4 linked regions of the Saccharomyces cerevisiae S288C genome follow. Changing the gene in region 2 together with the main gene of any one other region gives a genetic interaction. Each region holds a gene or a part of one and is shown on either strand. Other genes may lie near its edges.

Region 1 (7,936 bases), on a different chromosome or scaffold from region 2:
CCACTAGAGTCATCGATACTACTCAACGTTTCGTGGGTAATTTTCTTTAAAGTTTCTTTCCATTTTTGTAAAGTATGTGTTAAGGTATACTTAATATTCTTTTTTGGGGTCTTGGAAGTAGAAACAGTCATAATAAACCGTTAGCTTTTGAATACTGTATTTCTTTTACTAAACTGATCGTACAAAATTATTCGGGTTTTAACGACCTTAATGGACAAAAATATGTGACAAGCTATATTGAAGTACCAGCGGAAGAGTAGCTAAGCACTAGCGTTTGTTGTTAGAGTATTCCCTGTTTTTATAAATATTCCAAAGAATTATACAACACACTTTTTTGCGACCAAAGAATAAGCAGAAAAAAATAATAACTCCGATGGTTATTTCTATTGTTTACTAAAGTTCAATGCCTCTATCACTCATGCATCGTTTCATTTTAAAGTTGAAAAATGTTAGCAAGAAAAAAAAAGAAACGCGCGCTGATAGCATTACACACGGGTAGCAAGCAAACATGGTGTGGGGAAGGTGAGGGTAAAGAAGAAATCTACCAAGATCATGGTGCTGCACGTTTGCTGAGCCAAACAAAACCACTGTTGTCGGTAGAATTATCGAATTATCGATAATCTTCCATAAAGACTTTTTTACTAAGAGAGACTTCGTATCTCTTTTTCTTTTGATTCGGAATAAAACCCCGTTAGTACCATATAGGACGTTTACTTAAAGCCTTGCGCCATATCGCCGCCAGATGATACAAAAACCGATTTTATTATCCTCGTTTCTGTTTCTCTACATCCGTGCATTATTACATAGTATACATCCGTACATCCGTACATCCGTACATCTGTACACAAAAAAAATCACCTCATACAATTTTTTAGGAGTGCCGTTTAAATGAAGCGCAGCCAGATGCGACAAAAACTTAAAGGCGCGGCTCAGCCTAGATTACGTTCTTTTTCAGGTGATGGTGCCATTTCCGCCCTTCTCGTTAGAGCCGGAACGCAGATGAGCTGCCCTCTGGCGCCCGCGCTCCTCGCCTGGTAAGTTCACTACTAGGCTGGAAGTTGTATGGTGTCCTCTGGGATTGCAAGGGCACGCTAGTTGGATGTGCTCACAATTGGATTGGCACTTCAAATGCCAACTGGAAGGGCGCGAAACCGAGGGTAATGCGACAGAGGGCACTGACGTTGTTTCGTAACCTTGTAAGCTCTTTCTGATGGTAGTGCTTCATGTACATGTTTACTCTATTATTTGACCAGTCTCATTGTTGATAGGTTCCTTAGTTTTACATAGTCTTGGGTCTTAGTATATTTCAATTGCACGAGCAGATAATCCAAAGTACTTGAAAATGGCCGGTTTAAAAGACGTTGTCACTCGTGAATACACCATCAACTTGCACAAAAGAGTATGTCGAAATTAGCGTTGTCTTTACGTGGGAAATTATTGAAAGCCAACAAGCGATATTGTGGTGAAATACCAAGCGAAATCTATACGGGTGAAATTTCATTTTCCAATGATTGACCCCAGGTTTTAATTCGGAATATTAGAGGTTATTATATGGAATGCGTGATGCAAGGACTGGAAGGTTCTTCTTCGGTACTGCATTTCTCTGTGTTCTGCGATCGATATCCGTACCTCACGTTTACACTATAATGGCGCTTGGGCCGATGTTTTTGGCGTGATGCTTTAGTTCCACCTTCTTATAACAACTTTTTTTTTACTAACAGACCAATCTTGAATTGATATTAATATAGCTACATGGTGTCAGTTTCAAAAAGAGAGCTCCAAGAGCTGTGAAGGAAATCAAGAAATTCGCCAAATTACACATGGGTACTGAAGATGTCCGTCTAGCCCCAGAATTGAACCAAGCTATCTGGAAAAGAGGTGTTAAGGGTGTTGAATACAGATTGAGATTGAGAATCTCCAGAAAGAGAAACGAAGAAGAAGATGCCAAGAACCCATTGTTTTCCTACGTCGAACCAGTTTTGGTTGCCTCTGCTAAGGGTCTACAAACCGTTGTCGTTGAAGAAGATGCTTAAATTGTAAAAAAAAAAAAATAATGTCCATCTTATAAGCATTTTATTTCTTTTAGGTTATATTATTACACAAACAGAGCTGCTTTCGGGGTACGAGTATACGCTCTTGAATGATAGGAAAATATATACAATTTCAGTACCACAGTTTATTAGATTTTTGTAATTCAAAATTTATTCATTCTTGTCTCTCAACCACTGAGGCGCTCCTCTGCACACAGCTATTAGCTTTATAAGGAATTTCAACGCCCATGCCAAATCCATCCTCGCCGTAACGCTTGAACTCAAAGGTTTTATTAAACCAGTCGATCAGACTAATGTAATTTTTAAGATTCATCATTTTCTTTAACAGAGATTTCTTCAACTCCATATTTTCAAGCATACAGTACAGATGGTGCTGAGCCAATTGAAAAGGCAAGCCACCAAACTCTAGAGCCCAATAACAAAACTTCTCAATGCAGCCCCAAGGGCAGGTAGTATATCCAGCAAATAACGCTGGATTGCTTAACAACCCACGCACAGCCATGACACCATGTGCACCAGTGTATTTGGTGATTCTTTCCAAATCGGATAACTTAAAACAATCCCCATTCGCTATTACAGGCACATTTTTGTCGCTGATGTTCTCGATGATATATTTTATCGCATCCAGGTTAGCCGGCTGCGATGACCTAGTTCTACGTGTTCGGCCATGAATCGTAATCCAATCTACCCCAGCATCACATAGCTTTCTACATAACTCCACCGTCTCGTCCAATGCCTCATGTATTCTTATTTTCGTTTCAATTCTTAGTTTGTCGCCATACTTATCTTTCACAGCATGGACCATACTGCATAACAAATCTGAATTGTATATCAGAGCGCAACCTATGCCCTCTCGGATTTGTTCCTTTATAGGACAACCACAGTTAATACCAATACCATCACAGTATGGGGCAACCATTTCCACAAATTTTAGTAAATCAGCCACGTTATTTACACCTACTTGGACGATTAGCGGGGTGTCCTCATTATTTGTAGAAAGGTCTGAGATTCTTGCATGCTCATTACGGACATATTCTCTTGCCAAAATCATGGGGGAGTAAACTATATCAACGTTATATTCTCGGCACAACTGACGGAATGGTAACTTGGAATACCGAACCATTGGGCCTGCAATGGTCACGGGCCGACCATGTGTCTTTTGCCTCGTCTTTATTATATGCAGTGGATCTGTTTCTTCAGTAATAAGCTTCGGCTTCGGTATCAGAACATCACCGGATGGAATATGCATTGTGTGCATTTTCTTTAGAATCTTTATTCTGCATATGAATTATAACTTTGAAGAATCCATCTCTTATTTTCATTTTGAGTTTTTTCGCTGATCATCTTTTTTTTATTCAGGGCGAAGAAGCAGAATGCTGGAAGAGCCTACTTACTTAGAAAATAACAGCTAGGTTTTAAAATTATATAGCGAGAAGTACAATTCTATCAGCTATGTTTCTTGGATTTTTCCTGACCCTTTCTAACAAAAATGAATGCAGTGCAACCTGTGATAAAAAAAAGTACACATATTATGCAATGGAAAATTGAAATGCCAATAATATAAGATAAAAATCTTTTTCGAAGCATCAAGTTTCTTAATCCCTGCTCAAAATTCATCCTAAACTTAATCCCACTTTCTGGATGTATTATTAGATTTCTTTGGGCAATCTCCGTTTTCAAGAACACCGAGATTGTTTCATATGAAGACTCTAACGATATTTTGTCCTCTATTCTTATTGTATTTAGCCATTCTTCATCGTAAACGTCTAGACGTGATGGGCCTAGTTGTTCGATCTCCTGAGGCGACATGGAATCCGTCAGTGCGAGGCAGACAATAGGTCTAGAAGTGTGAAAGATTTTTTCATCTTTGCTGTTACTTCCTCCAGGAGCACCCAATAGCGGGCCTGGACCTCTGTAAACATCAATTAACAAATTGTCTAAATTTAAATGGTCAGTTTTGCTCTGGCAATAAAGCTGTAGGTTTAGATCGAGCTTGTATTCCATGTTGTCACGCATGGGGATTAACTGTGATAAGCCATTGTCTATTGTTTGCGGCAGATCTGTACCTACCGGAATGCTTTTAATAGATTGGAAGAATTTTGTACCAAATTGTACGCCATTTAAAATGTTGAACGTATTAAGGGGGACTACGTTAGAGGAATCGGCAGGTAATAGTCTTAGGTAAAAATCGTGATATATTAAGATCGATAAAGGAAGAATGATTAGCAATTGTATCAGAAATGCAACAACAATATATGAACTCCATTGTAAAAACTGTAATGGACGGGATACATTGATTTTCATCCTTCCTATTCACTTTATCTTATTTTCTTGAAACCTTGGATTCACATTTTGATAATTTGCCGTAAGCTGTCTCTATTTTTCTGTCTTACGCGCATTTATATTTTTAATAACCTTACGTTGAGATTTTCAAATTATACACATAGTAGCAACTAATGATGAGGTAGTTATACTTAACTTTCAAAAGAGCGACTCTAGTATTAGATGAACAATTAGGTTGCTTTATATGGATGACGAAAAGTCTTATTTACAAAATAACTCTCAATAAATGTTTCTTGACCATATGGCTTGGTGTTGTCAACTTTCTAGATAATACTTATCAGCGTGATTGGATTGTAGGTTTGGGAGGAAGGTTGCTTTTTAAGTTACTTATAGTATATTATTATTGATATTGAATTAATTTACTTTCATAAGTGTATAAAATAAAAGTTCAACATTACTAACAAAACTATAATATTTTCTCAACCAATTATTAACCTGTGATAGTTGCGCTGTAATTCCAGTCTAATTAATATGCTTCGTAAGATTAATTGTAATATTTAAGTAATCTTTTAATGGTTCAATAAGATAGTTTCTGCCTAGAAAAACGATCCGACAACGTGCATGGTAATTCACTTACAAATACACAGAATTGCAGATAAAAAACGGAACCTTTTATTTAAGATTTAGAGCATGAATAAGAAGAATTAAAGTTTCTTTTCTTAGAATAAAAATAGTTTTTAATACATCAGAACAGAAGGAAGTAAGTAAAGCCAAAATATATATAGTAAAAACACAGTAGTAAAAAATGAATAGTAAAAAACACACAACAATAATACTAAAAGGAGAGACCAGACAGAGCGCAAATCGTTTTCATGACGGAGTATTTAGAGGAAATGATGACAAAACAAGAAAATGTTATTCTATTATAAGTTCATTTTTCAATAATAGATATGCTTTTTATTTTTTGAAATTAATGGTAACAGTCGAAGAGCACAGCTTTATCATGCATTTTCGTTCAAAGATGATCACATAAATTGCGCCCAACAACAAGAGAAAGAGCGGCCGCTCGATGCATGAGTCGGTAACGGTAGAATTAGTATCTAAATAGCATACTAAATCAATTCAGTAAAGAAACAATTATATCTTAGTGAGTGGAGTGGCCCCTGTGATATTTTAAACCGTTCAAGTTCTTATATCTCTTACCACAAACTTCACAACGGTATGGTTTATCCTTTGCAGAGCCCATTCCATCACCAAAAGAATCTGTCGAATCTGGATCTATTACGCTAAATGTACCGTCAGGGTTTTCATGTAATTTTTGATTCTGATGTCCGTGCAACCTATGGTACTTCAAACCGTTTTGGTTTTTATAAGTCTTTTCACAACCAATAACTGGACACTTAAAGGGTTTTTGTTCCTCATGATCCATTACATAGAGCCTTCTCGCAGGATCGTCTATATAAGCTTGCTGAGGCATCTTGTAATTGTTGTTATGAACTGATTTTCCATTGGAACTGGAGCCATTTTCTGTGTCATCGTCATCGTCATCGTCATCGTCATCATCAACATCATCGTCATCATCAATGTCATCAATGTCTTGATCCTCGACCATGTTTTGAGAAGATTTTGCGTGTACGGAAGAATGAAAAGTATTGTAGTTGTGAGAACCTGTAGTTGGATTTACGACAGAGTTCATGGAATTGTGGTTACTAGGGCCCAAAATATCATCATCCATAAAACTTAAATCTATATCTTGGACAAGTACCAGAGGTGATAAATCGGTTTGATGAGGATCAATTTTTCTTGATTGATGTTGAATAGGATTCCTGGACGTTTTGTTCAAGGAATAGTTATTAAAAGTATGTGGACGATTCACCATGGCGTTTTTACTACCCATGTTAATATTAGAATTGTGTGAGGTATTATTATTGATATTGATACCACTATTATTGTTACTGTTAATTTGTTTATTGTGCGGAACGTGTCTTGATGGAGAATTGCTCGTTCTTAAAAACACATCATTCGTTGAAACGGCATCGACTAGATTACCATTCAGATGTAGTTGTTGAGAGTGATTAGCCATAGATAAGCCCGAGTTGGGGGCACCCGTTATAGATATCACATTTGGATTTGCAGTTGTGGACGACGCAGTTGCTGAACCCATTACACTCGGTGTGGGTACAGCCCCTGATGTATGATTTACAGAATTCGATTGCAACTGTTGTTGTATTATATTCTGCTGATGGTGAGGATGCTGAGATTGTCGTATTGTGGAGTTGGAATCCATGTTGCTCTGAAGATTGGCATGCATATTATTAATGGAGGTGTTATTAGTTGCATTGCTGCTATGAGCCTGCATAGTATTAGTCTTATGACCTGCATTTTTTGTATTAGCGGCCATGTTATTCTGCAGGTTATAGTTGGCAGAAGAGGTATTATTTGTCATACGAACTGATGAACTAGTGTTACCAGCAGAGTTCATCGGTATTTGTGACATATTGGTAGTGTTAGGAGACGTGGATATATGAGCTTCTTCGTAATGTCTCAGCAAATCATGCAAACCTGGTAAGGAAAGACCACAGCATGAATAATCTTTACAATATTGCTTTTCTAGATTTGGCAGATAAGCAGTGTAGGCTATCTGAGGAGAAATAGAATACCCTCTATGGTAAGGCGGATTACTAACAGAGGGTCTCTTAGTTGGTTGTTGAATCTGCAAAGTATTAGTGGCAGTAGTGGTTGCAGAAGCGGCAGCGGAGGCAGCACCGTTTGCTGATGCAGGTACAATACTATTTCTACGGCTAATAATTTCATCTCTTAACCAAGAACCAACACTAATGGATCCCCATGAAACACCACCCATCCCTTGAGAATGGGCTATTGATTCTCTCCGTAACTTGGCAATGTCCTGTGGAGTTAGTAGCGTTTGGTCCATTATATTTGGAGAGTACAAATGAACATTATTTGTATTATTCATGATATTTTTTTGGTGAATATTATTGACGCCGTTAAAATCTGTGTTTTTTCCATTAGAAGAATCCGAATTGTTATTTATCAAAATGGAAGGAGTATTCTGGTTCGAATCAATATCAATATTAAAGTTTGATGACGAATTTATAGATGCATGTGCCGATGTAGCCGTCGTAGTAGTACTAGTAGCCATATTGCTTGCCATAGTCATTGTTGTAAAATCCATACTCAGATAAGCTTTTCCTGTTTCGAAGAAAAATAAAAATACTGAATATGAATATGTCTTTTAATAACAATAAATTTGAAAACGCCTTACAAGTGAAATCTTGAGGTGATTAATAGTAGGTGAATCCAGAGAAAGTGTTTCGAGGATATAATATGGTATCAGAAAGCCAAAAGACGACCGGTATATTATAAACTTAGTATGAATGTATCGTGGCGCTTTTTTCTCCTAGCTTTATTCTTCTTGCTTTCTCGCTCTAAATATGATATTGCGATAAAAGGAAGTAGTTTAACTCACCGTAAAATCGATCAATATTAGAAAAACAGAAAACCACCAGAGAGAAGCACCGATATGTAATTGAAGTAGAAAAAAAATCTAGCTTTCCTTCTCTTTATAAGCGAACTTAATG
Region 2 (8,326 bases):
AACATTTGGTTAGCCAAAGTATATTCAAACAAATCTCTTGGAACGTTTGCGTCCGTGTCGATCTCAAATTTGCCGAATGATGGGGATTGTTCAATGGTCTTGGCGTTAAAGATCGGTTTTTCAGATGGTTCAAAAGATAGGGAAGACACTGGGTCATTGTAGAAAATGGAAATCTTTGGGTAAGTGCCGGCCTTCATGACACTCAATAACTTATCGGCAATCAAAGCAGATTCTTGGAAAGTTGGGGCATCTTTACCAATTCCATTAATAGACAATTTAATGTTGTTAGGATGGGTTCTCAATAGCTGCATTTTAATTTTATCACCAATAGTGACTATATCGGCGTTTGGTTGATCATTCAAATGTCTTCTCACAGCTTTAGCCAATTGAGAGTGGATAGAACCACACAACCCCTTATCAGAGGTGATAGCAACAATCAACTCTTTAGGAGCACCTGTTTCAGTAGCCTCAACATCCAAATTTTTGGTTTCGGCGTTCTTGTAAAACAACTGCTCTGCTTCATCCATCTTCTTTGCGGAAATTTTAGCCTTTTCAGCTTTACTCAATCTTGTAGATGCAACAATCTTCATAGTTTTTGTGATCTTCTCAATATTTTTGATAGATTTCAAACGCATTTCCACTTCTTTCAAAGTAGCATAAGTTCTCACTGGGTTAGTCTTATAAAGAATACCCACTTGCGCTTGGTGGCACATTACGGAGCGTGTTGCATTGTTTGATACAATTCTTGACAACATGACTACTAAATAAAATAATGTTTACTGCTCGTCTTCAATTGTTTCCACCTGAAATTAACCAAAACGGTTCAGTCTCAATAGTTTCTTATTTGTCTTTTTTAACTGAGTGATAATCATTTAAGCATCTCCCTTCCGGGCCTTCTTTAATCGTTATTGCGGTCCGGGTTCCTCGCGTAGTTACTCGCCGCTCATTGGTTCTCCATCACGTGATAAACATTTCTTCCAAATAAATGAGAACGTTCATTAAATATCGAATAATTCACTTATTATATCTCCATCATATACTTACTAGTTCTAGCGACAGCTCCTATTCATATATCTTCTTACTTTTTTTTTGTTTTATCGACAATTGCTCTACGTTTCGACGTCTAGAAAATGTACTAAAACAGTGCGCTCTCTACCCATAAGGATGAAGAATACGTAATAACAAGAGTTTATTCTCCTTAGTATGTATTTGATAGCACACTCAGAAAGATGAGTTACTACTTGGAAAATCTCAAAAGCTCTTGATGCCCAGCTCATACATAAAAAAACGCCGGAGAACTTTAGCGTCACCAGTTACTGCGACACGGCTTTTAGAGAGGAAAGTAAAGGTCTATGAGTAAAAAGATAGATTATGTTATGCTACATTATATTTGGTATTGAAACATGTATATTATATATAAAAAGTCTAAGAGAGAAATGTCAAAATATCCTAGAAGGTAATGGTTGTCATAACCTGTACATTCTAAAACAGAATGAGAAAAAAGAGGGAATGACGAGAAATTAGCTGAAAAATACTGGCATTAGCCCTTTTTGTGGAAAACATTTGGTAAGTCTAATTTAGAGACTTCCCATGAGCCGCTACCTTCAACTTTATTTCTGTAACTCACTATTATACGCAAGTATTTCATGAACAAAAAGGCCATGGAACCAACCACCCTAAAGGCAGCTAAAGCGGCCACAGACCATAAAATGAATATCAAATAACCATTGTCAGTATCTTGTGGTGTAAAGACTTGAATTATAGACATGATCAGTATTAGATTTGATAGCATCCAAATCATCACAATTCTGGTTCTTATATCTCTATAATAATCATTCTTGGATTGTTTTTCATTGCCGCTTGATTCTTCAAATTCTGGTTCTTTCAAACGACTTTTTATTTCCAAAAACTTCTTATCAACTTCCTGAGGCCAATCTGTTTCCACAATCTGTTTCCCATCTGGACCTTGAACGACAATGGCCTTGGACAATTGCTTGGACTCCTGTGTGGAACCTTTAGTACCCCAGGAAACGTCGTGTGTATTACAGAAGGCAAAAATCTGTAAAGTACACGTAAAGGCGGGAAGTGTCAAAAAGTATTGTATGGATGATGTAAACATGTGCCAAGGATCTAGGTACATCAGTGATGAGAAAAAGTATAGGCCATAGGTGGAGAGCAATGAGATAACGATGTCGACAAATATTTTGTGGGATTCCGTTCCAGAAGCTAACGACTTGAAAGCAAAAACAAACCCACAAATTAGAGAATATGTGGCACATATAGACAGTATAACCATGGAGGTAATGAATAAATGTTTCGCGCCCTGGGGTCTATTACCCATGGAAATAATGAATAAACTTGCCAAGTCACAAAAGATCAGGTATTTAAAAAAAATGAATAAGGCCTCACCATGTTTAATAACTAAATTCATTGATCCTGCTAAATAATAAAAGGTAAGAACGAAATTTGCAATAGAAAACCAGGAAAAAAGCATCTGAATAAATTGATAAAGGAATTCAACATGAAGAAAGAACTTGCGTACAACAGAATGTTTAGTTTTCCAAATTTGGTAGAAATGCAATTGAGCATAAATTGCGGCAAACATTGCACCATTTAACCAACGTCTTCTTTGAGAAATAAATTCAGAAACGTCTTCGGGAACATCCGTTTCACCAGTGGCTTCCTTAACATATTTTAGAACCCATTTTGCATCTCGCTTGGCGACCAATTCCCAACAAAGAATTCTATCTTCAGCCAAGTACATATTTGCAGTGAAAACATCATGGTCTCTGCCTTCTTGAGTTTCACCAAGGAAATACGATCTGAGAGGGCCAGTGCCATCTTCATGATTTTTTAAGGCTCTATACCTATATGCGGACAGGGCACCAGGAAGAACAGAGATATAACCAAAAACACTTTCTAATGGTTTATCTAAAATATTCGAGATCTTATATTCAAAATTTTGCGATGCAACTAATGGATTGAAAAGTTTCAGTCCCCACTTCCCCTTCATAGTCTTAATCTGACCAGCCGCACCAGCCACATTTGAATCCATATCAAAAACCTTCCATAACCTGTAAATTGCTGTATTGTTTAAACGTGTACCGACATCAACCAAAGTAACTACAGTAGGTTGCAAAACGGGACAAAACGCGTTGAATAGCCAACGATGGGAATTGATCTTTTTCTTATTTTCTTCTTTTAGACAAAAAACCAATTGCACAGGAACAATGTCCTTTGAAACATAATCCAGATCGGCGTTGATAGAGACCTGAGTTGTCAATTCAAAAATGTGCGCTTTTACCGGATCACCATTCACAGACGCCTTGGCCATATCTTCTTGATAAACACCCAAAGCAGCTAAATAGTCGAGAGACCCTTGGTTGACTTTTGCTCTACCGTCACTAATCAGAATTACAGAGACTTTCTTCCAGCCATTGGGGCCCCAAACATGAGATTTTTCACGCTTACAAAGATGAGCAACATTCTTCATAATGGAGTGGATGGTTCTTGCCAATGAATATTTATCTTCATTGTACATGGTAATACAAATGGCAATTTGACATTCTCTGTTCATCTCTGCGAATCTCAAAGTGTAACCTTCTCTCAAAAAATCGTCAGGTTCCACAGTGCAGGCTGTATATCTCATTTCCGTAAACTCAGGGGAGTTCCTACGAGGCAAAGTATCCAACAGACCTTTTGGTATCGGGTTGTCTAGTTTCAATAGTGCCTTCTTCTTGCTTGGGGGAGGCAAGTCTGAGACCATTCTTCTCTTACTCTCAGAATTGGCACGTCTTACATACTGCTGTCTTGTTGGATGGTTCAGTTCAAATTTTGTTTCATTGAAAGTGTCTGCAGAGAAAATTGTAGACTGATCATCATAGGAAGTAGTCGAAGTGAGGTATTTTTCCTTTTCATCGTCTGCTTCTGCCAGAGAGGGAGCCGTTGTGGAAGTAGTAGACATCGTGTATTTCGAGCTTTGAGAATACAATCTGCCACTTCCAAACAGATTGTTACTGGGCTGTTGCTGGGGTGATAGATGGTAGGGGTCTACCGGTAGATCTGCATTATCGCGGGGGTAAAGGTTACTCCCCTCACTTAGATGTATGACAGCCTCGCCTGCTCTTTTGGGAGACTCTTGTAGATTAGCAGCATACCTGTTCGGAGCAACTGGAGAGTTATGGGCACTATCGCGGTAAAATTGAGTTCTATGGCGACGGTCTGGGGAGTATCTTAGTGCAGCTCTCGAAGGAGATGCCGGAAGGCCTTGGAAAACGTTAGATTGGTCATAGCTATCCTCCAAACTCTCCTCACTGGGATTAGCCCACCGAGAGTTGCTGTTAGCGTTTGCGTAAAATTTGGAGAGGTTTGAAGCACCACGTCTATTAGGAGAGCCATTCGAAGGTTCCACCATAAACGGGTTTCTCGTCATTTCTATATGTGGTTCTTTGGTTTTTATTTGGGTCTATATGTAACTTCCTCTGTTTTCTCTTCTGAGTCACGAAATCAACAGTAATATTATGGAAGATAGTTAAATAGACTGGGGCCATCCCAAGGGAGAGTCCTCGAATTCCCAATTGAAACTAAATTGAAGTTCTGTAAATTTCAATATCGATGCTATCATACTCAAATAGGAAATATATAAACAAATAGTATAGGGGTTTATACTAGGGTTTTAAACCCCAAAAAACTAACCCTACTATCTTCTTTTCAGACCCTAAATTGAAGGAAATAAACGGGAATAATAATCAATAGCGATCTCCCGAAGAGAAAAGTGAGAAAATAGTATAATTGTGTCTATTGTGTTTATAATCGGCATTAGAAACGTATGTTCGTATAAGGCAAGGGAAACAGAAAAAACAGCAAACGTAGAAAAGATGCTGAAGTTGTCAAGAAGTGCCAATCTAAGATTGGTCCAATTGCCAGCCGCAAGATTAAGTGGCAATGGCGCTAAATTGCTCACTCAAAGGGGATTCTTTACTGTAACGCGCTTATGGCAGTCAAATGGCAAGAAACCATTAAGCAGAGTACCTGTGGGCGGTACTCCCATTAAGGATAACGGCAAAGTGCGAGAAGGCTCGATCGAGTTTTCCACGGGAAAGGCCATTGCTCTATTCCTAGCAGTCGGTGGGGCACTTTCTTATTTCTTCAACAGGGAGAAACGCAGATTGGAAACACAGAAGGAGGCTGAAGCAAACAGAGGATACGGTAAACCTTCACTTGGGGGACCCTTCCATCTGGAGGATATGTATGGCAATGAGTTTACGGAGAAAAACCTTCTCGGTAAGTTTTCTATAATATACTTTGGGTTTAGTAACTGTCCTGACATCTGTCCTGATGAACTGGATAAGCTAGGTCTATGGCTTAATACACTCTCTTCAAAGTATGGTATTACTCTGCAGCCATTATTTATAACTTGTGATCCAGCAAGAGACTCCCCTGCTGTATTGAAAGAGTATTTGAGCGACTTTCATCCCTCCATCCTGGGTTTGACGGGGACGTTCGATGAGGTGAAGAACGCATGCAAGAAGTACAGAGTATACTTTTCTACGCCTCCAAACGTCAAACCGGGCCAAGATTATTTGGTAGACCATTCCATCTTCTTTTATCTCATGGACCCTGAAGGACAGTTTGTTGATGCTTTGGGTAGAAATTATGATGAAAAAACGGGCGTGGACAAGATCGTGGAACACGTTAAGAGTTATGTGCCTGCAGAGCAGCGCGCCAAGCAGAAGGAGGCATGGTACTCCTTCTTATTCAAATAAGATTGTAAATATATGCTACTTTCTTCCTTGTATATACATATATACTTATAACGCTATAACCCGTTCTTGTAATATCGGCTATCACCCGGCGAAGGTGTATCGCAAGAAAAAAAAAAGCTCTCTCACTCTAAAGGAGGCTATGTGAACGTGGGAAGATCAAGTGAAAGAAATGTTTGTAGGCCATTTTCTTCCAGAACAGATCCGCTCTTGAGCTGGTGAGTTAGCACGATAACAAACAAAGATACAGCGTCATGTCTACCACACTACTTTGGTTTTCAAGTGTAATAGGCTACGTGATTCAAACAAAATGTTTGTCTAACATACAATCTAAAAAGGAAATCTCCGTGGGGCCCAATGGTACAATTGCAACGCCTGAAACTAACGGCGACAACGGAAACTCAAGTTCATTAACCTTCTATCTGACCTTTATGTATTTTGCTTCGTGGCTGCTCTTGGTGCCTGCATCTCGACTTTGGGAGAAGATGAGACCGATGTTTGTCTCTGACTCAGACTCGAACAGGAATTCTCAGTTTGACAACAACAACAGCGGGTCTGTGACAAACGAAGATGTCGATACGTTCTCGCACGTGTTGGATGATCCTCAACCACGGATTCCAGCCCAACAGCAGAAGCAAAAAATCATATCCGTGGCTACCTTCAAATATGTGGCTAAGCTAACAGTGCTGGCTCTCATAATGATTGTCGCTGATTTGACTTATAACATGGCTTTGTCATTGTCACCGGCATTTGATGTTGCTTTGATGCAAAATACTGCCATTTTCGAAATTGTCACTTTACTATATGGTGTTTGTGGAATCTCCAGGAAGAACTACGTTTTCCGTAATTTCCTCATCATGATGAACGCGGTCATTGGAATTTTGATCATCTCATACACGAAGGCTACCTGTGACATGCTTGCCGGAAAGCTGTCCGTCAACCCTAACACGGGTGAACTTTCTGACCCATTCTTGTTTGATAGGTTGAAAGGTGCTCTGATTTGCGGCCTTGGTGCTTTGATTATGGGTCCTTTTGCCGTGTTATGGAACCGTTGGTTTTGCAGTAACATTTCCAAGAACGAAAATTCTGCTGTAGTCTTGGTTAAGCAGAGCACCCACATGGCCCTAATCGGTATTATTGGCATGGTAATACTTTTGCCATTTATTCCTAAATTTCCCTCCCGTGAGTCTGTGGAATCCATTTCGTTGTTCTATAATGACAAGAGCTTTTGGTTCTCTCTACTAGGCTCGATTATCTTTGGTTCCTTGCCGAGCTTGATTTCGATATTAGAGTTGAATCGCAAGGCCCCTGCTGAGTATTTGACGACGTGCAACCTGGGAGCTATTATCTTTATGGGGTTAGCTGAGTGGGTTTGCGAACCTACGCAAACCACAATTGTGAGATGGGAAGTCATAGGATACATAATGCTAACGGTAAGTTTGTTGGTCCTATCAGTAACACTCGGGGAAGGTAAATACCACCATTAGTACGGACAACATACTTTATATGACTGATGATGATGTAACAAGCATATGCAATTATTTGGTTTCCCTAAATAAAAAATCCCAATCAATATCTTGATTATTTTCAAGACAATTACTAGGATGTTCTTCTATTTTTTTATTTTTATTTGTATATTGTATATTCTAAAAAGAAGAAGCCATTTGGTGGGCTTTATTATAAATATTAAGAGGCATACCTCCGCCTATCCGCCTATCCTCGTCATGAACAATCAATTAAAAGCGCTTATAAAGCGATATACAAGTACAGTACGCGCGATTTCTACAATACAAAAAATATACATCAAGAAAAAAAATGTTTCCAAAAATTATCTAAATGCATCGAAGGCATTAGGAGAAGTAGCTGTGAATACAACACCAAGATTCATAAAATGAACACACGGTTCCTTCCGCTTGGAAAATAATGCGACAAAAATACCGTATTGATCATCAAAGTAGTTTTAATAGATACCTAAAAAAACCATCTTGAAAAATCTCAAATTACGTTCTTGATCTTGTGTCATTGTTCAGTTACTGATCGCCCGCAAACCTAACCGATGCTTAAGAAAGGACACCCTTGCCTTTTGGCTTATTTACCTACTCGTATTTTTCTCTGTCACATCGTTCGATGTACGGGGCACATTTGGAAATTTCATCAGTAAGTTCAGTGAATAGATTTTTTATTTTACCTTTTTGTAGTGGGATTTATTCTTTTAAAGGCAAAAATCTACTGAAAAAACGGAAAAAACTAGAATAAACCATTTCTATATATACTCATGTTCCCTGACGTTCTTTTTCCTTTTTCTTTTTCCAGAGTTAACGATAAGATAGACATAAAGTGACAGCGCTTAGCACCGTCTGTTTGCAAATCTAACTTAAACTCCTTTTTTTCTGTCACCTTAAACAGTGTCAGAAAAAATACTAGGTATAAGAAAACGAGAAAAAAATAAACAGCGAACTCGTGCAAACTTTGCTAATAAACAATTAGCTGTAACATTTGTGTGTGGGTGTGGTGATGGTAGGCTTCCCATGGTAATTAAAAGGTTAGGTCGAGAAGAGGATCGG
Region 3 (8,192 bases), on a different chromosome or scaffold from region 2:
GCCGCATAGCATCGATCTATTTCATGATAAGGATTGGATTGTGAAAAGACCTAAATTCCTAAATTTACCCAAAAATGAACATTCAAAATTAGATATATTCCAGTTTAATTTTAACAAGTCCGAAAGCAATAATGTGTATTTACAGGATTCATCATTTAAAGATAACCTTGATAAAGCGATGCAATTTATCTATAACGATAAATTGTCATCCTTGGATGCCAAGCAAGTACCAATAAAGAATCTTGCTTGGTTGAAATTAAGAGATTACATATATCAACAACTAAAAGATCCGAAACTGCAAGCCAAAACCTATGTACCTTCGGTAAGTGAGATCATACATCCTTCATCTCCTGGCAATTTGATTTCGTTGCTGATAAATTGCAATAAAATCAGCAATTTAGTCTGGAAATCTGTTCTCAAATATAGCCTGAGTAACAATATAACTACATTGGATAAATTTATCCACGTCCTGCAACAGACCTTCGACCATGTGTACGAGCAGGAGATACTACCCATGATGACGAATACAGATGATACAGATGGCGCTCACAACGTTGACATAACAAATCCAGCAGAGTGGTTTCCGGAGGCAAGAAAGATTAGAAGACATATAATCATGCACATTGGGCCCACGAATTCAGGCAAAACTTATAGAGCGTTACAGAAATTGAAATCCGTGGACCGTGGGTACTACGCAGGGCCGTTAAGACTGCTAGCAAGGGAAGTGTACGATAGATTTCATGCAGAAAAGATAAGATGCAATTTACTGACTGGAGAGGAAGTTATTCGTGATTTGGATGATAGAGGAAATTCAGCAGGGCTGACATCAGGCACAGTAGAAATGGTGCCAATAAATCAAAAATTTGACGTTGTTGTTCTTGATGAAATTCAAATGATGTCTGATGGGGATCGTGGCTGGGCTTGGACGAACGCGCTTTTAGGTGTCGTTTCCAAGGAGGTCCATCTTTGTGGTGAAAAGAGTGTTCTACCTTTGGTTAAGAGCATTGTTAAAATGACTGGCGATAAATTAACGATTAATGAATATGAGAGGTTAGGAAAGTTAAGTGTTGAAGAAAAACCTATCAAAGATGGCATCAAAGGTTTGCGCAAAGGAGATTGCGTCGTTGCGTTTTCAAAGAAGAAAATATTGGATCTCAAGCTAAAGATAGAGAAAGACACCAATTTGAAAGTTGCTGTAATTTATGGCTCTTTGCCGCCTGAAACACGTGTTCAACAAGCCGCCCTATTCAACAATGGAGAGTATGACATAATGGTAGCATCAGACGCTATTGGTATGGGTTTAAACCTGTCTATTGACAGAGTTGTATTCACGACAAATATGAAATATAATGGTGAAGAACTAATGGAAATGACTTCTTCTCAAATCAAACAAATAGGTGGTCGTGCGGGAAGGTTCAAATCTAGATCTGCCTCCGGGGGTGTTCCTCAGGGTTTTATCACCAGTTTCGAATCAAAAGTTTTGAAAAGTGTAAGAAAAGCTATTGAAGCACCTGTGGAGTATTTAAAAACTGCGGTTACATGGCCTACAGATGAAATATGTGCTCAACTAATGACACAATTCCCACCAGGAACGCCGACCAGTGTCCTGCTGCAGACTATTTCAGATGAGCTAGAGAAAAGTTCTGACAACCTGTTCACGTTATCTGATTTAAAGAGCAAACTGAAAGTTATTGGCTTATTCGAGCACATGGAAGATATCCCATTTTTCGACAAGCTGAAACTAAGCAATGCGCCCGTGAAGGACATGCCTATGGTCACAAAGGCGTTCACCAAATTTTGCGAAACAATAGCAAAAAGGCATACAAGAGGCCTACTGTCATACCGATTACCTTTTAACCTACTGGACTACAATTGCATACCGAATGAGAGTTATTCATTAGAGGTTTATGAGTCATTGTACAACATCATTACTCTATACTTCTGGCTCAGCAACAGGTACCCAAACTACTTCATTGACATGGAATCTGCTAAAGATTTGAAGTATTTCTGTGAGATGATTATTTTCGAGAAACTTGATCGATTAAAGAAGAATCCTTACGCACATAAGCCCTTTGGTTCTACAAGAGGTCACCTCTCATCTTCGAGAAGAAGATTGCGTACATAATCTACGATATATCCTGTAAATAGAAACAGCTACACTGCTTGAAAGCCTTAACATGATACATTTCTGGTATGATGCCATTGTTGTGCCCTGCCGGGTTTATCGTTTCCTAACAGGCACGTCACTTATAACGAGGTGCCTGTCGTTTACCGCCCAAGCCGGTTTTTTCGCTGGAGAGTACGGTACTACTAGCCCACCACACGTTCGTGGCCAGGTTGATAGGCCACCGTTGAGCAAAGGGCAGTAAAATATATAAAAGAGGAACAAGCGCTTCCATTAAGAGCACTGCTAAGCCTACTCGTTTTCTAGTTCTCTGAAAAAAGGTAGCCTAAAACAAGCGCCATATCATATATATTTATACAGATTAGACGTACTCAAAATGTCTCAGAACGTTTACATTGTATCGACTGCCAGAACCCCAATTGGTTCATTCCAGGGTTCTCTATCCTCCAAGACAGCAGTGGAATTGGGTGCTGTTGCTTTAAAAGGCGCCTTGGCTAAGGTTCCAGAATTGGATGCATCCAAGGATTTTGACGAAATTATTTTTGGTAACGTTCTTTCTGCCAATTTGGGCCAAGCTCCGGCCAGACAAGTTGCTTTGGCTGCCGGTTTGAGTAATCATATCGTTGCAAGCACAGTTAACAAGGTCTGTGCATCCGCTATGAAGGCAATCATTTTGGGTGCTCAATCCATCAAATGTGGTAATGCTGATGTTGTCGTAGCTGGTGGTTGTGAATCTATGACTAACGCACCATACTACATGCCAGCAGCCCGTGCGGGTGCCAAATTTGGCCAAACTGTTCTTGTTGATGGTGTCGAAAGAGATGGGTTGAACGATGCGTACGATGGTCTAGCCATGGGTGTACACGCAGAAAAGTGTGCCCGTGATTGGGATATTACTAGAGAACAACAAGACAATTTTGCCATCGAATCCTACCAAAAATCTCAAAAATCTCAAAAGGAAGGTAAATTCGACAATGAAATTGTACCTGTTACCATTAAGGGATTTAGAGGTAAGCCTGATACTCAAGTCACGAAGGACGAGGAACCTGCTAGATTACACGTTGAAAAATTGAGATCTGCAAGGACTGTTTTCCAAAAAGAAAACGGTACTGTTACTGCCGCTAACGCTTCTCCAATCAACGATGGTGCTGCAGCCGTCATCTTGGTTTCCGAAAAAGTTTTGAAGGAAAAGAATTTGAAGCCTTTGGCTATTATCAAAGGTTGGGGTGAGGCCGCTCATCAACCAGCTGATTTTACATGGGCTCCATCTCTTGCAGTTCCAAAGGCTTTGAAACATGCTGGCATCGAAGACATCAATTCTGTTGATTACTTTGAATTCAATGAAGCCTTTTCGGTTGTCGGTTTGGTGAACACTAAGATTTTGAAGCTAGACCCATCTAAGGTTAATGTATATGGTGGTGCTGTTGCTCTAGGTCACCCATTGGGTTGTTCTGGTGCTAGAGTGGTTGTTACACTGCTATCCATCTTACAGCAAGAAGGAGGTAAGATCGGTGTTGCCGCCATTTGTAATGGTGGTGGTGGTGCTTCCTCTATTGTCATTGAAAAGATATGATTACGTTCTGCGATTTTCTCATGATCTTTTTCATAAAATACATAAATATATAAATGGCTTTATGTATAACAGGCATAATTTAAAGTTTTATTTGCGATTCATCGTTTTTCAGGTACTCAAACGCTGAGGTGTGCCTTTTGACTTACTTTTCCGCCTTGGCAAGCTGGCCGGGTGATACTTGCACAAGTTCCACTAATTACTGACATTTGTGGTATTAACTCGTTTGACTGCTCTACAATTGTAGGATGTTAATCAATGTCTTGGCTGCCTTCATTCTCTTCAGGCTCTATTAATTTTAACCGTTATAAGTTCCTTTTCTCCCTTGGAAGCAAACATCAACTGCCTTAAAATCTGGTGGCGAGGAAAGAGGAAATGGCATGTACTAATGATGGTCCTAATAAATATCCCGAAATTGTGAGTGTTAAGCACCTGTTCCAACATTCGGGATCCAAGCATGAATTTAGTGCTGGTAAACGATTTTCAAAATCCATTGGTAAAATATTCAAACGAAACTCTGCTTTGAAAACTTCTAGAACTGAAACGGCAAATCATAAAATGGAATTGAAAAAAAGAGAGGGTGTTACCTTATTGCCACCTGTCCCAGAATCATTATTACATAAACTCAATTCTTGGTTGGAAACTTTTTCTTCCACCAAGAACATGAAAATCGAAGAAAACAAAATTGTTATTAATGAAAAAGAGATTCGGGATTCAGTCTCTTACTACCCTGATAAGAATGGAGGAAGTGCTGTATTTTGTTACTTGCCCGACCTTGTGCTATATTATAAGCCGCCTATAAAAGTCACAGGCAAGCAATGTCCAATAAAGAGAAGTCCTTGGGAATCGATGGAAATCCAATATCAAAAGTTTATGTACCCCTTAGAAAGGTTGGAAAGACAGTTTGAGGAAGTTCCATTTAGGCCCTGGTATTTTGCAATGCGATTAAAGGAACTTTACAGATGCTGTGAAAGGTCTTTTACTAACGCGGCAAATAGAGGAAAGGCAAGGTTATTGCGGGGGAAGCAAAGGACGAAAAAATCGTATCATAAGACTGTCAACCTGGTATCAGCGAAGATTTCCACCCATTCAAATGCGCCGTCGCCGGGCTGAGAAACAAAAAAAGTGACTAAGTTCTGTCATTCTATCATTATTGTAATTAGTTATGTAGGACATATATATCCATAGTGATCTCCTTTTGATCAAAGAAGACACTGAAAAGTCGTAAGTTCGTAAAAAAAGTATGAAAATCGTTCCAGCCATTGCTTATAGCCATCCTAGTAGGATACTAGAAAAAAAACAAACCTCAAAGATAAAAAGAAAAGGTGAAGCTATTACCGAATTAGAACATAAGATAATACAGTGAGTATAAAGGTGAGACCTGCTCAATAATCTGGTAACCATTTCTCGTTTGGACCGTCTGTTAAAGTAGAAAAATTCATTTGTAAGCATAATAGCCTATTTCTTAATGTATCTTGTTGGAATTTGCAATCTTTGGAAGCACTAACGTCATCGATATCAGATTGGTAAGGTGTACTGTCCATTGAGGAAGTTAAAAAGGTACTATTATTGTGGTTGTTAGTGTATTCATACTTTTCCATACTTCCGTCACTATTATACGTTGATGGAATATCACTCTCCGGTTCAGCATCTTCCTCTTCTTGCTGCTGTTGTGCTTGTTCCTGGTTTTGTATTTGTTCTTGTTTTTGTTCCTGTTCTTGTTCTTGGACTTGCTGTTGTTGTTGTTGCTGTTGTTGTTGTTGTTCTTGGTCTGCAGAAAAATGTGATAAATCGCTCAAAAATAGGTTTTCATTCCTTATAATATGCGTCATGTAAACTTCGCTCGATAGGATTGGAACTTGAGACAAGGGCCCTTCCCTGGTGAAAGAAGTAAGAGAGGAAACTTCGGACATCAAAGTTTTCATGTCTATTCTTGTGTATGGATTTAGTTGTAGAATTTTCGTCAACACTGTGAACAGCTCATCTGATATAGGAAGGATTTTCTTCAGGACATTATTATCGTTAGCAAAATGTTGAAATGTGTTATCCTCCTTCTGGTGAGCTTTTAACCATGGGTTTCTTATGCAAGTTAAATTAATTAGGATGATGCCTAGAGACCATATATCTCCTGTATCCGTAGGGAGGCTCGAACAGCATTCGTCGACGTGTATGCCGTTGGTGGTGGTATTCAAACAATACAATATTCTTTCTGGAGCCATATAATATGAACTGCCAACGCACACATTTGGAGCTAGATATTTAGATTTAGTGGAAAGCCCGAAATCGCAAAGATAAGCGTTGTCATTGCGATCCAGTAGGACATTTTCAGGTTTGATATCACAATGATATATACCGAGACGATGACAGTGATCTAATGCGGAGCAAAGCTGCAGAAAAACTTTCTTAATCAAAATACCATGATTTACAAAATGCTTATCGTCAACTATCGAGGTGAAAAGGTCCCTGTCGTAATAATCCATCACTATAAAAGTGGCAATAGAAGATTCTAAAACTTGGTGAATCTTCACGATATTGCCGTGAGACTGCACTCTTAGTTGGAAGGCAATCTCCCTGTAGTGTGGTAGCCTATTTAGTTCATTCTCAGTCAACTGTAATATCGAGTCTAGATCAACGGAAGGTAAGAACAATTTTTTTTGGAAACTTTTGAAAAAATGATACAGTTGCGTTTGCAGAAGAGTGGTTCGCGCCACTTGAGAGTTGTTGTTCAAACCGTTCTTATTATAAAACTCATCCATCGAGGAGGATTTGAAGACCGTTTTCACTGCATATTCACGGCTCGTCAGTATATCCACCACATGGAACACTAGTCCATACGCACCCGACCCTATTTGAGCCGTTATTCTGAAATTGTTCAGCAAGCAGTCTGACAGCATTTGTACACAAAATTTCTTGTCTGTGTTCTTATTTGATGTTTTCTTTTAAAGAGTTTTGTTTCCGCTAGGGCGATTTAAGTCAATAAGTAAATTTAACAATTTACTAAATATATTTTGTATAATATATAAGAATATACGCCTTAAGAATGTCCTCTCATGCGAAAAAGGTAGCAAGAGCATAAAAAGGAAAAAGAAAACGCTATAGTCATTTGTAGGCTCTTGTCTTTCTTCGTCTTCGTCCCGTGAGTGCGGACTCAGAAAACACCGCAATGATGTGGGTCCGGAATATCTATTGCACAGTTTTAGTAGGGTCACCGATATCGTTAAGGTTTGTGGTAGGAACAGAAGGTACTGCCGGCCCTGTATACTGCCCTTTTGTTCCGACCATTTCTTTTTTGCATTTGTCCCAAGATTCTCTCTCCCCACAAAATCTGCTCAAGTATCTGTCCAACGCGCTTTCTTCGGCTGATAGATAAGTTCCGATTTCGTGGGAAGCAAAAAAAAAAAAAAAAAGAAAAAAAGAGTCTGTCCGAGAAATGTCCCGGAAAACGTGGGTGTGCGGTGAGGAGATTGTACTTCCATCCCACATTCCTCGTGTTTGATTGGCTGCAAGCCACTTGATGCCTAGAAAAGAAACACCGCGTGGTGCATCTATGTCCATATCACGCGCGCTAAAACAGCATGTAGAGAGCGCGAGGGCGGCGTACTGCACCATTCTAATAGGAAATCCGGGATGAATGCCCTCTCCGGAAATACCTCCACTAAGCCTCAATGGAAAGTTGTTCCGCTCACGCGAACAGGTTTTTCCGGGGAGTCGAGAACTACAGTGACGTAAATACGACGACATCGCTAGAGCCAGCAGAAGCCTCCATACATTCAGACTAATTAGTTGACGGGCTTGAGCCAACTAGACATATTATGTAGGCACATATGCTCCAACCAATACATATGTGTACATAGAGTACAGCTCTTCCCAGCGCATCCGCTATCGTCCTCTTGACAGGTCCGGCTATTTATTATCCGCGGCATCCGCGGCCCAGCGCACAATAATAGATTACTTTGCAATGCAAGCGGTCTTGGCTGTTTGCTCTGAGGGTCCATCTTCGTTTATTTCTTTATTTACTAAATTAATTATGATACTGCACTCAGGACGGGCCAAGAAAGCATGTAGCGTGAAGAGAAACTAATTATTAAGAAAAAAGAAAAAAAAAAAAAAAAAAAAAAAGAAAAGGAAAAAGGAAAAAGATAAACCAATCATACAATCTTTACAGAAAGGGAGTACTGAGAAGAAGGCCAAAATACTGCAGAGCATACATACTACCGAGTGGATGGAATGTCTTTTTCATCTATCTTATCACAGGATATCACAGATGACATTACACCACCAGCGTATTCCGCCACCTTGGGGTCGAGAGAACAGATTGTTTTCAGAGCTTACCAAAATGAACCTTGGTTGGCTGGTACTGCTTCGAATCTTATCTTAGATAAAAAACTTGTTATTGTAGACAGAGAACTGTTGTTCCAGGTGTTGATGGTAGAGAATATCACCAAATCCAAGCTAACACAGATCGATGATATAAAAACCAAGCTGGATCCGAAAAAA
Region 4 (7,230 bases), on a different chromosome or scaffold from region 2:
GCTCATATTCATCACCGTAGTCATTTCTTTTCATTTATTGGTGTTAAAAACTTACCGGAAACAAATTTAAAGGGAGACTATATATATATATCGGGAAAGTATTTTTTAAACAAGCGATAAAAATCATTCGGATATAACGGATATAAGAGCAGGAAAAAAAAAAAAGCAGGAGGCACCTAATTCTGACAACACCGATACCTTTAATTGTGCCAGCTTTATCGGTTTGCTATGGCGCTCTCAAAATTCAGGGGTAGGAGAGTTATCGCGCAGATTAAGGACATAGCGGGCTCTGCAGGATTATGTGGTGAATCAATACAAGGTGACTAAGATTGTTATGTAGTGACTATGGATACTGCATCACCAAAAGGACCGCCGCATGATTTACCATAATTATTTCTCCCTTCATTTACATGTAATCGTTGGAACAAGAACCGATTATTGACTAATGCACAACATCCAAGTATGATTTACAGTCCAAGAAAATGGCATAAGTTTAGGATACCCTCAGAAATTCTATCAGAAGATAATTTGCAACGATTGCTGGTGTAATAAAAAAGAAATAATAAGTATAAAAATACTAGAATATTAGTATCGTATGTAGTATTATGGATTCCTATTGAGAATTTGGTAAATAATTGCACCATTCGATAGAGCTATAATATTTATTATACTTACACCAGAAGTTCTCTTCGAAGATGTAAGAATACGCGAAGGGGAATCGCTACTCTAGGAAATAATGTTATGATTATTTCTCTTTTCGTTTTATATGTTTCATTATCCTATTACACTATCAATCCTTGCATTTCAGCTTCGATGACAGTTTCTCATACCTTATGCCATCATCTTAACACCGTATATGATAATATATTGGTAGTGTGACTACTAGTTGATAGACGATAGTGGACTCTTATTCCTACAAAATATTATTTAGACAATTGTCTGCCAGGTTGTATAGACATTGCGCATCAGATCTACTCAAATATGAAAAAAAGAAGAGAACGTCAACAATTTTAATCGTTCGTATCATCAAGAAGTTCCGGTCCTATAGTGTAGTGGTTATCACTTTCGGTTTTGATCCGGACAACCCCGGTTCGAATCCGGGTAGGACCTTCTTTTTTGCGAATGACGTATGCTGCTTTTTGTGCCTACAGTTTTTTTTTTATTTGGCTAGCCCATTGCTTTGATCGATATTTCCTGTGAGAAGTTTAAATCCACTAAGGTTTTTCATTGTTGCTGCAGATGTGTTTTTCCATTCATCCTGAAATATGCACTGCTATTCCGCATTCCATTCCCCTAGTCTTTTTTAGTTCTTTCCGTTCGACCTTCATCGAAAAATGACAAAACGCGTTAGGAACAACAACCAATTGCAAACAAGCAGTGAAACAAAACCATCAAGGCCCGAAAATACAAGTGTGTACTAATACAGTAAGTAGGTCAAATACGCAATGACCAAAGATGCCGTGAATCTAGATGCTTACACCGTGAGCTTCATGCCTTTCTATACCGAGTATCAAGGACCAACCGAAGAGTTTAAGGATTACAAATTCGAAGATACTATTTACTTTCGTGGCAAGGAACTGAAGAGGGAAAAGTCTGCGACGCCTTCCAGTAGCGATAACACAACTAGTAATACCTTCAGTAATGGCGCCATCCTCTCGGGAAACACAATAACTGGCAAGATAGTTTCAGTGAATAATTACGAAAGAGAGGGCACTGATCGCAACGAATTGGCGCGATTGCAAGAATTGATCTCCCTCATCGATGTCATAAATCAGTAAATATAAACATTAAATACATTACACGTAGCCACCCGCTGTATAGCATAAAACTAACTTAAAATTATTCATATGCGTTTCCCGGGGCCGAAGCGTTATTGCCGATATTCGGTAGCCGATTCCGCTGGCTTTTTTTTTTTGAACGAGGCAAAAAAGTTTCGTGACTGAACTTCTTCGTCACTGGTTTTGTTGATAATTTTTATCGTTTTTTACTTCGAGATTGAAAACAGTGTTCTGAATTTTAGCAACGATATCGCACCGCACGTTTAGCCTGATCAAACCTTATATATACCTCTACCTTAAAATATATATATATATAGTATTCGAATTCCGAATTGTGTGTCTCCGCGGTTAGTGATTGTTATACACAAACAGAATACAGGAAAGTAAATCAATACAATAATAAAATATGACAATCAAGGAACATAAAGTAGTTTATGAAGCTCACAACGTAAAGGCTCTTAAGGCTCCTCAACATTTTTACAACAGCCAACCCGGCAAGGGTTACGTTACTGATATGCAACATTATCAAGAAATGTATCAACAATCTATCAATGAGCCAGAAAAATTCTTTGATAAGATGGCTAAGGAATACTTGCATTGGGATGCTCCATACACCAAAGTTCAATCTGGTTCATTGAACAATGGTGATGTTGCATGGTTTTTGAACGGTAAATTGAATGCATCATACAATTGTGTTGACAGACATGCCTTTGCTAATCCCGACAAGCCAGCTTTGATCTATGAAGCTGATGACGAATCCGACAACAAAATCATCACATTTGGTGAATTACTCAGAAAAGTTTCCCAAATCGCTGGTGTCTTAAAAAGCTGGGGCGTTAAGAAAGGTGACACAGTGGCTATCTATTTGCCAATGATTCCAGAAGCGGTCATTGCTATGTTGGCTGTGGCTCGTATTGGTGCTATTCACTCTGTTGTCTTTGCTGGGTTCTCCGCTGGTTCGTTGAAAGATCGTGTCGTTGACGCTAATTCTAAAGTGGTCATCACTTGTGATGAAGGTAAAAGAGGTGGTAAGACCATCAACACTAAAAAAATTGTTGACGAAGGTTTGAACGGAGTCGATTTGGTTTCCCGTATCTTGGTTTTCCAAAGAACTGGTACTGAAGGTATTCCAATGAAGGCCGGTAGAGATTACTGGTGGCATGAGGAGGCCGCTAAGCAGAGAACTTACCTACCTCCTGTTTCATGTGACGCTGAAGATCCTCTATTTTTATTATACACTTCCGGTTCCACTGGTTCTCCAAAGGGTGTCGTTCACACTACAGGTGGTTATTTATTAGGTGCCGCTTTAACAACTAGATACGTTTTTGATATTCACCCAGAAGATGTTCTCTTCACTGCCGGTGACGTCGGCTGGATCACGGGTCACACCTATGCTCTATATGGTCCATTAACCTTGGGTACCGCCTCAATAATTTTCGAATCCACTCCTGCCTACCCAGATTATGGTAGATATTGGAGAATTATCCAACGTCACAAGGCTACCCATTTCTATGTGGCTCCAACTGCTTTAAGATTAATCAAACGTGTAGGTGAAGCCGAAATTGCCAAATATGACACTTCCTCATTACGTGTCTTGGGTTCCGTCGGTGAACCAATCTCTCCAGACTTATGGGAATGGTATCATGAAAAAGTGGGTAACAAAAACTGTGTCATTTGTGACACTATGTGGCAAACAGAGTCTGGTTCTCATTTAATTGCTCCTTTGGCAGGTGCTGTCCCAACAAAACCTGGTTCTGCTACCGTGCCATTCTTTGGTATTAACGCTTGTATCATTGACCCTGTTACAGGTGTGGAATTAGAAGGTAATGATGTCGAAGGTGTCCTTGCCGTTAAATCACCATGGCCATCAATGGCTAGATCTGTTTGGAACCACCACGACCGTTACATGGATACTTACTTGAAACCTTATCCTGGTCACTATTTCACAGGTGATGGTGCTGGTAGAGATCATGATGGTTACTACTGGATCAGGGGTAGAGTTGACGACGTTGTAAATGTTTCCGGTCATAGATTATCCACATCAGAAATTGAAGCATCTATCTCAAATCACGAAAACGTCTCGGAAGCTGCTGTTGTCGGTATTCCAGATGAATTGACCGGTCAAACCGTCGTTGCATATGTTTCCCTAAAAGATGGTTATCTACAAAACAACGCTACTGAAGGTGATGCAGAACACATCACACCAGATAATTTACGTAGAGAATTGATCTTACAAGTTAGGGGTGAGATTGGTCCTTTCGCCTCACCAAAAACCATTATTCTAGTTAGAGATCTACCAAGAACAAGGTCAGGAAAGATTATGAGAAGAGTTCTAAGAAAGGTTGCTTCTAACGAAGCCGAACAGCTAGGTGACCTAACTACTTTGGCCAACCCAGAAGTTGTACCTGCCATCATTTCTGCTGTAGAGAACCAATTTTTCTCTCAAAAAAAGAAATAACTTAAATGAGAAAAATTTCGTAATGAGATAAAATTTCGCTCCTTTTCTGTTTTCTATTTTCTATTTTCCCAACTTTTGCTCTATTCAGTTATAAATTACTATTTATCCATCAGTTAAAAAACAAGATCTTTTACTGGTCAGCTAGGAAAGCGAAAATACAAAGACTTTATGCACTTAGTGATATATATGTATAGATATATCCATTTTTACGCACTTATCATATATCTTAGTTATCTAAATACAATCTAGTTATTCGTACACAATCGCCCCTGTTATCCCTATAGTGGGAATAAAGTAATGCACTGTGACGGGGTTCTTCGCCCGGGATAGGGTAAAAGGATATTGCCGTTTCAAGAAACTTCGGGGATAATCGAATAAGATACCGAGAAAGCTATTGTTCGTTGTGCACGTAGGATGTATATTGAACAAGCATGACCAGAATCTGATGCATTACGAGAAGGTTACGGGATGATATCAGACCTCCGAAGTCCATGTTGCAAAATGTGCCGACTTTCCGCGGCGCTATTTGGCACAAATTTCAGGAGAAACATCACTGTCGGTGTTATAGAATTCCATCTATATTGTTTTCCCCGTAGGCATACGTCGAGGAACTACTATATCTTTTTTCACCTTTTGTATATCTGTATTTTTGGGTCAATGTCTGGTACATAAGGTGAGTCATATTTACATCAAAGTGTGTAACGTATAAGAGGTAAAACAAGTTACAGTACTCATATAGTATTTCTTCTATCGGTAATTCTACATGTGTCTGATCAAGGTCTATCATTTTTATATGGTGGAAACGATTTTCTAGTACTACAATAAATGAACCAAGATGTCCCTTTCTCTGGGTGCCGCTATTTACATTGCATTAAAACCTATATTTAAAATTTACACCATTATGCTTGTTGGCTATTTGGTAGCTAAGTTCGATATTGTTTCCATGGAAAATGCGAAAGGTATATCAAATATGGTTGTTAACGCTATTTTGCCTTGTTTGACCTTCAACAAAATTGTGTCCAATATTTCATGGAGGGATATAAAGGAGATTGGAGTGATAATACTTTCAGCTTTTATCTTGTTTGTTTTAGGTGCCACGGGCGCCTTATTTACTACATTTGCTACGACTGTGCCCAAAAAATTCTTCTGGGGGCTCATATTTGCGGGTTTCTTTCCAAATATATCAGATTTACCTATTGCCTATATTCAGAGCATGGGTAACGGCTCCATTTTTACTGCTGAAGAAGCTGATAAAGGTGTTGCTTATTCCTGCATTTTTTTATTTATTCAAAGTTTCCTAATGATGAATTTTGGAATGTGGAGAGTGGTCGGACTTGATTTTAGAGATACAAAAGAACCAGATAGTGAGAATATTACTCCGTCAGTAAGTCCCGCTATCGACGATCGCAAACTTACTGAAATAACAAAGTTACCTAATATCACACGTCCTACAAATGCCTATCAATCGGAAGATGCGAGAAGTAATAGCGATTTGTCTTGTAACTCTATTACTACAAATGAAATGACACCGCAGGCATTCTACGAAGGTTTTACTGGCTACATCAAACCCTATAAAGAATCAAATGGTGCATCCCATAAATTTGAAAGTGACCTTCCGCATGCTGAAATATATAGGGTTTCCTCGACTTATTCAAGCCCAGGCGCATTGGAGTTCTCGCGAATAGATGGCAGTTCCCTCTCATATAGTCGTATATCAAAAAATAGCGATGGCAGAAGTTATAGAAGAAAAAGGAAAGCGGATATGAATGAGTTGATTTCCAAATACAGTGCCGCCGAAAAAATAAGGCAAGGTGAATTAGATTTATCAAGACCACTATCCTTGACTGAAGAAGTTGGAAGCAGGAACGCAAGTATTGGTAATGTGCACACTGGTTATACCGATGAAAGTTCCATCGAAGAAGAAAATTGCACTAATATGGCCACCGACGGGAGGGGTAGCCTCTCCTTCTTTATAGAGAGACACAATCTCAAATGGTTGCAGTACTTTATTATAAATTGCCTCAGGCCAGCATCTCTGGGGGCAATACTAGGAATAATATGTGCATTAATTCCCTGGGTTAAAGCATGCTTCGTAACGACATATGTTCACGTTCATAAGGCGCCTGATGGAGAACCTGTTCTGAATTTTTTAATGGATTTTACAGAGTATATTGGAAATGCATGTGTTCCATTGGGGCTTCTATTACTTGGCGGAACGTTGGCAAGATTAGAAATTAAGTCATTGCCACCTGGATTTATTAAATCCGCCTTATTGATGACATGCTTTCGATTAATTGTCATTCCTATTATTGGCGTCCTATGGGTAAATAAACTATATTCGATCGATTGGCTGGATACGGGCATAGGAAAATTTGACATGATATTAACGTGGTCCATGCCGAGTGCTACTGCTCAAGTATATTTCACAGCATTTTATACGCCAGCATGTGGTGATCACATTCAAATGAACTGTTTGTCCGTCTTATTTGTCATGCAGTATGCGATTCTTTTCATCACTGTGGCGTTTGTTGTTACATATACCTTAAAGGTCGATTTAAAAGTTTGATTATATCCCTAGGCGAATAGGTATATACAAGAGTAGCTTATTATCAACTTATATATTCTGTTTTTTCAAAAGTAGCGATGAATTCCAATCGCGTATTTATTCGTTGTATTTATTTTTTGGGGTAGGGTTGTGGGGGGGGATCCGCGTAAGTATATTTATAACAATTCAATAATAATATTGTAGATTTGAAGAGAATCACACATGTAACAGAAAAGCTGTAATGATATTAAGTCAGAGGAGGATGCTGAGTTCAAAGCAACTAATAGAGAACTTGATAAGATACAAATTTCATAAAACACCATATACTCGGAGCTCAATATGGCCTTTCAAAAGAAATTCGGCGGTAATAATACTATTATTCATTGGAATGAAAGGCGAACTACGAGTGCTTTTAACTAAACGTTCAAGAACATTGAGAAGCTTCTCAG

The links.
Region 1: mutations in CSG2 (region 2) and SEI1 together harm fitness more than expected from each alone (negative genetic interaction), as found in Saccharomyces cerevisiae (3 studies listed by BioGRID).
Region 3: mutations in CSG2 (region 2) and ERG10 together harm fitness more than expected from each alone (negative genetic interaction), as found in Saccharomyces cerevisiae (3 studies listed by BioGRID).
Region 4: mutations in CSG2 (region 2) and ACS2 together harm fitness more than expected from each alone (negative genetic interaction), as found in Saccharomyces cerevisiae (3 studies listed by BioGRID).

Annotation. Positions count from the first base shown.
Region 1 is NC_001144.5:925,162-933,097, reverse strand, and holds SEI1 (seipin), read right to left. Parts: upstream 4,356-7,936; coding exon 3,498-4,355; downstream 1-3,497. Other genes in the region: GAG1 (Gag1p), read right to left, coding at 1-131; YLR406C-A (uncharacterized protein), read left to right, coding at 743-892; 60S ribosomal protein eL31 RPL31B, read left to right, coding at 1,343-1,399, 1,749-2,033; DUS4 (tRNA dihydrouridine synthase), read right to left, coding at 2,206-3,309; zinc-coordinating transcription factor SFP1, read right to left, coding at 5,479-7,530. UniProt on the Saccharomyces cerevisiae protein: Involved in lipid metabolism and lipid droplet (LD) morphology, number, and size. Facilitates initiation of LD formation, and ensures that vectorial budding of LDs from the ER is directed towards the cytoplasm.
Region 2 is NC_001134.8:308,004-316,329, reverse strand, and holds CSG2 (mannosylinositol phosphorylceramide synthase regulatory subunit), read left to right. Parts: upstream 1-6,016; coding exon 6,017-7,249; downstream 7,250-8,326. Other genes in the region: ATP3 (F1F0 ATP synthase subunit gamma), read right to left, coding at 1-755; chitin synthase CHS2, read right to left, coding at 1,541-4,432; Cu-binding protein SCO1, read left to right, coding at 4,878-5,765. UniProt on the Saccharomyces cerevisiae protein: Required for calcium regulation. May regulate calcium accumulation by a non-vacuole organelle. Also regulates the activity of CSH1 and SUR1 during mannosyl phosphorylinositol ceramide synthesis.
Region 3 is NC_001148.4:495,595-503,786, forward strand, and holds ERG10 (acetyl-CoA C-acetyltransferase), read left to right. Parts: upstream 1-2,501; coding exon 2,502-3,698; downstream 3,699-8,192. Other genes in the region: ATP-dependent RNA helicase SUV3, read left to right, coding at 1-2,125; SMA1 (Sma1p), read left to right, coding at 4,071-4,808; putative serine/threonine protein kinase SKS1, read right to left, coding at 5,081-6,589; RMI1 (Rmi1p), read left to right, coding at 7,923-8,192. UniProt on the Saccharomyces cerevisiae protein: Acetyl-CoA acetyltransferase; part of the first module of ergosterol biosynthesis pathway that includes the early steps of the pathway, conserved across all eukaryotes, and which results in the formation of mevalonate from acetyl-coenzyme A (acetyl-CoA).
Region 4 is NC_001144.5:442,530-449,759, reverse strand, and holds ACS2 (acetate--CoA ligase ACS2), read left to right. Parts: upstream 1-2,184; coding exon 2,185-4,236; downstream 4,237-7,230. Other genes in the region: RNH203 (Rnh203p), read left to right, coding at 1,446-1,778; YLR152C (uncharacterized protein), read left to right, coding at 5,072-6,802; PCD1 (8-oxo-dGTP diphosphatase), read left to right, coding at 7,023-7,230. UniProt on the Saccharomyces cerevisiae protein: Catalyzes the production of acetyl-CoA. Provides the acetyl-CoA source for histone acetylation in the nucleus. 'Anaerobic' isozyme of acetyl-coenzyme A synthetase, which is required for growth on fermentable carbon sources such as glucose.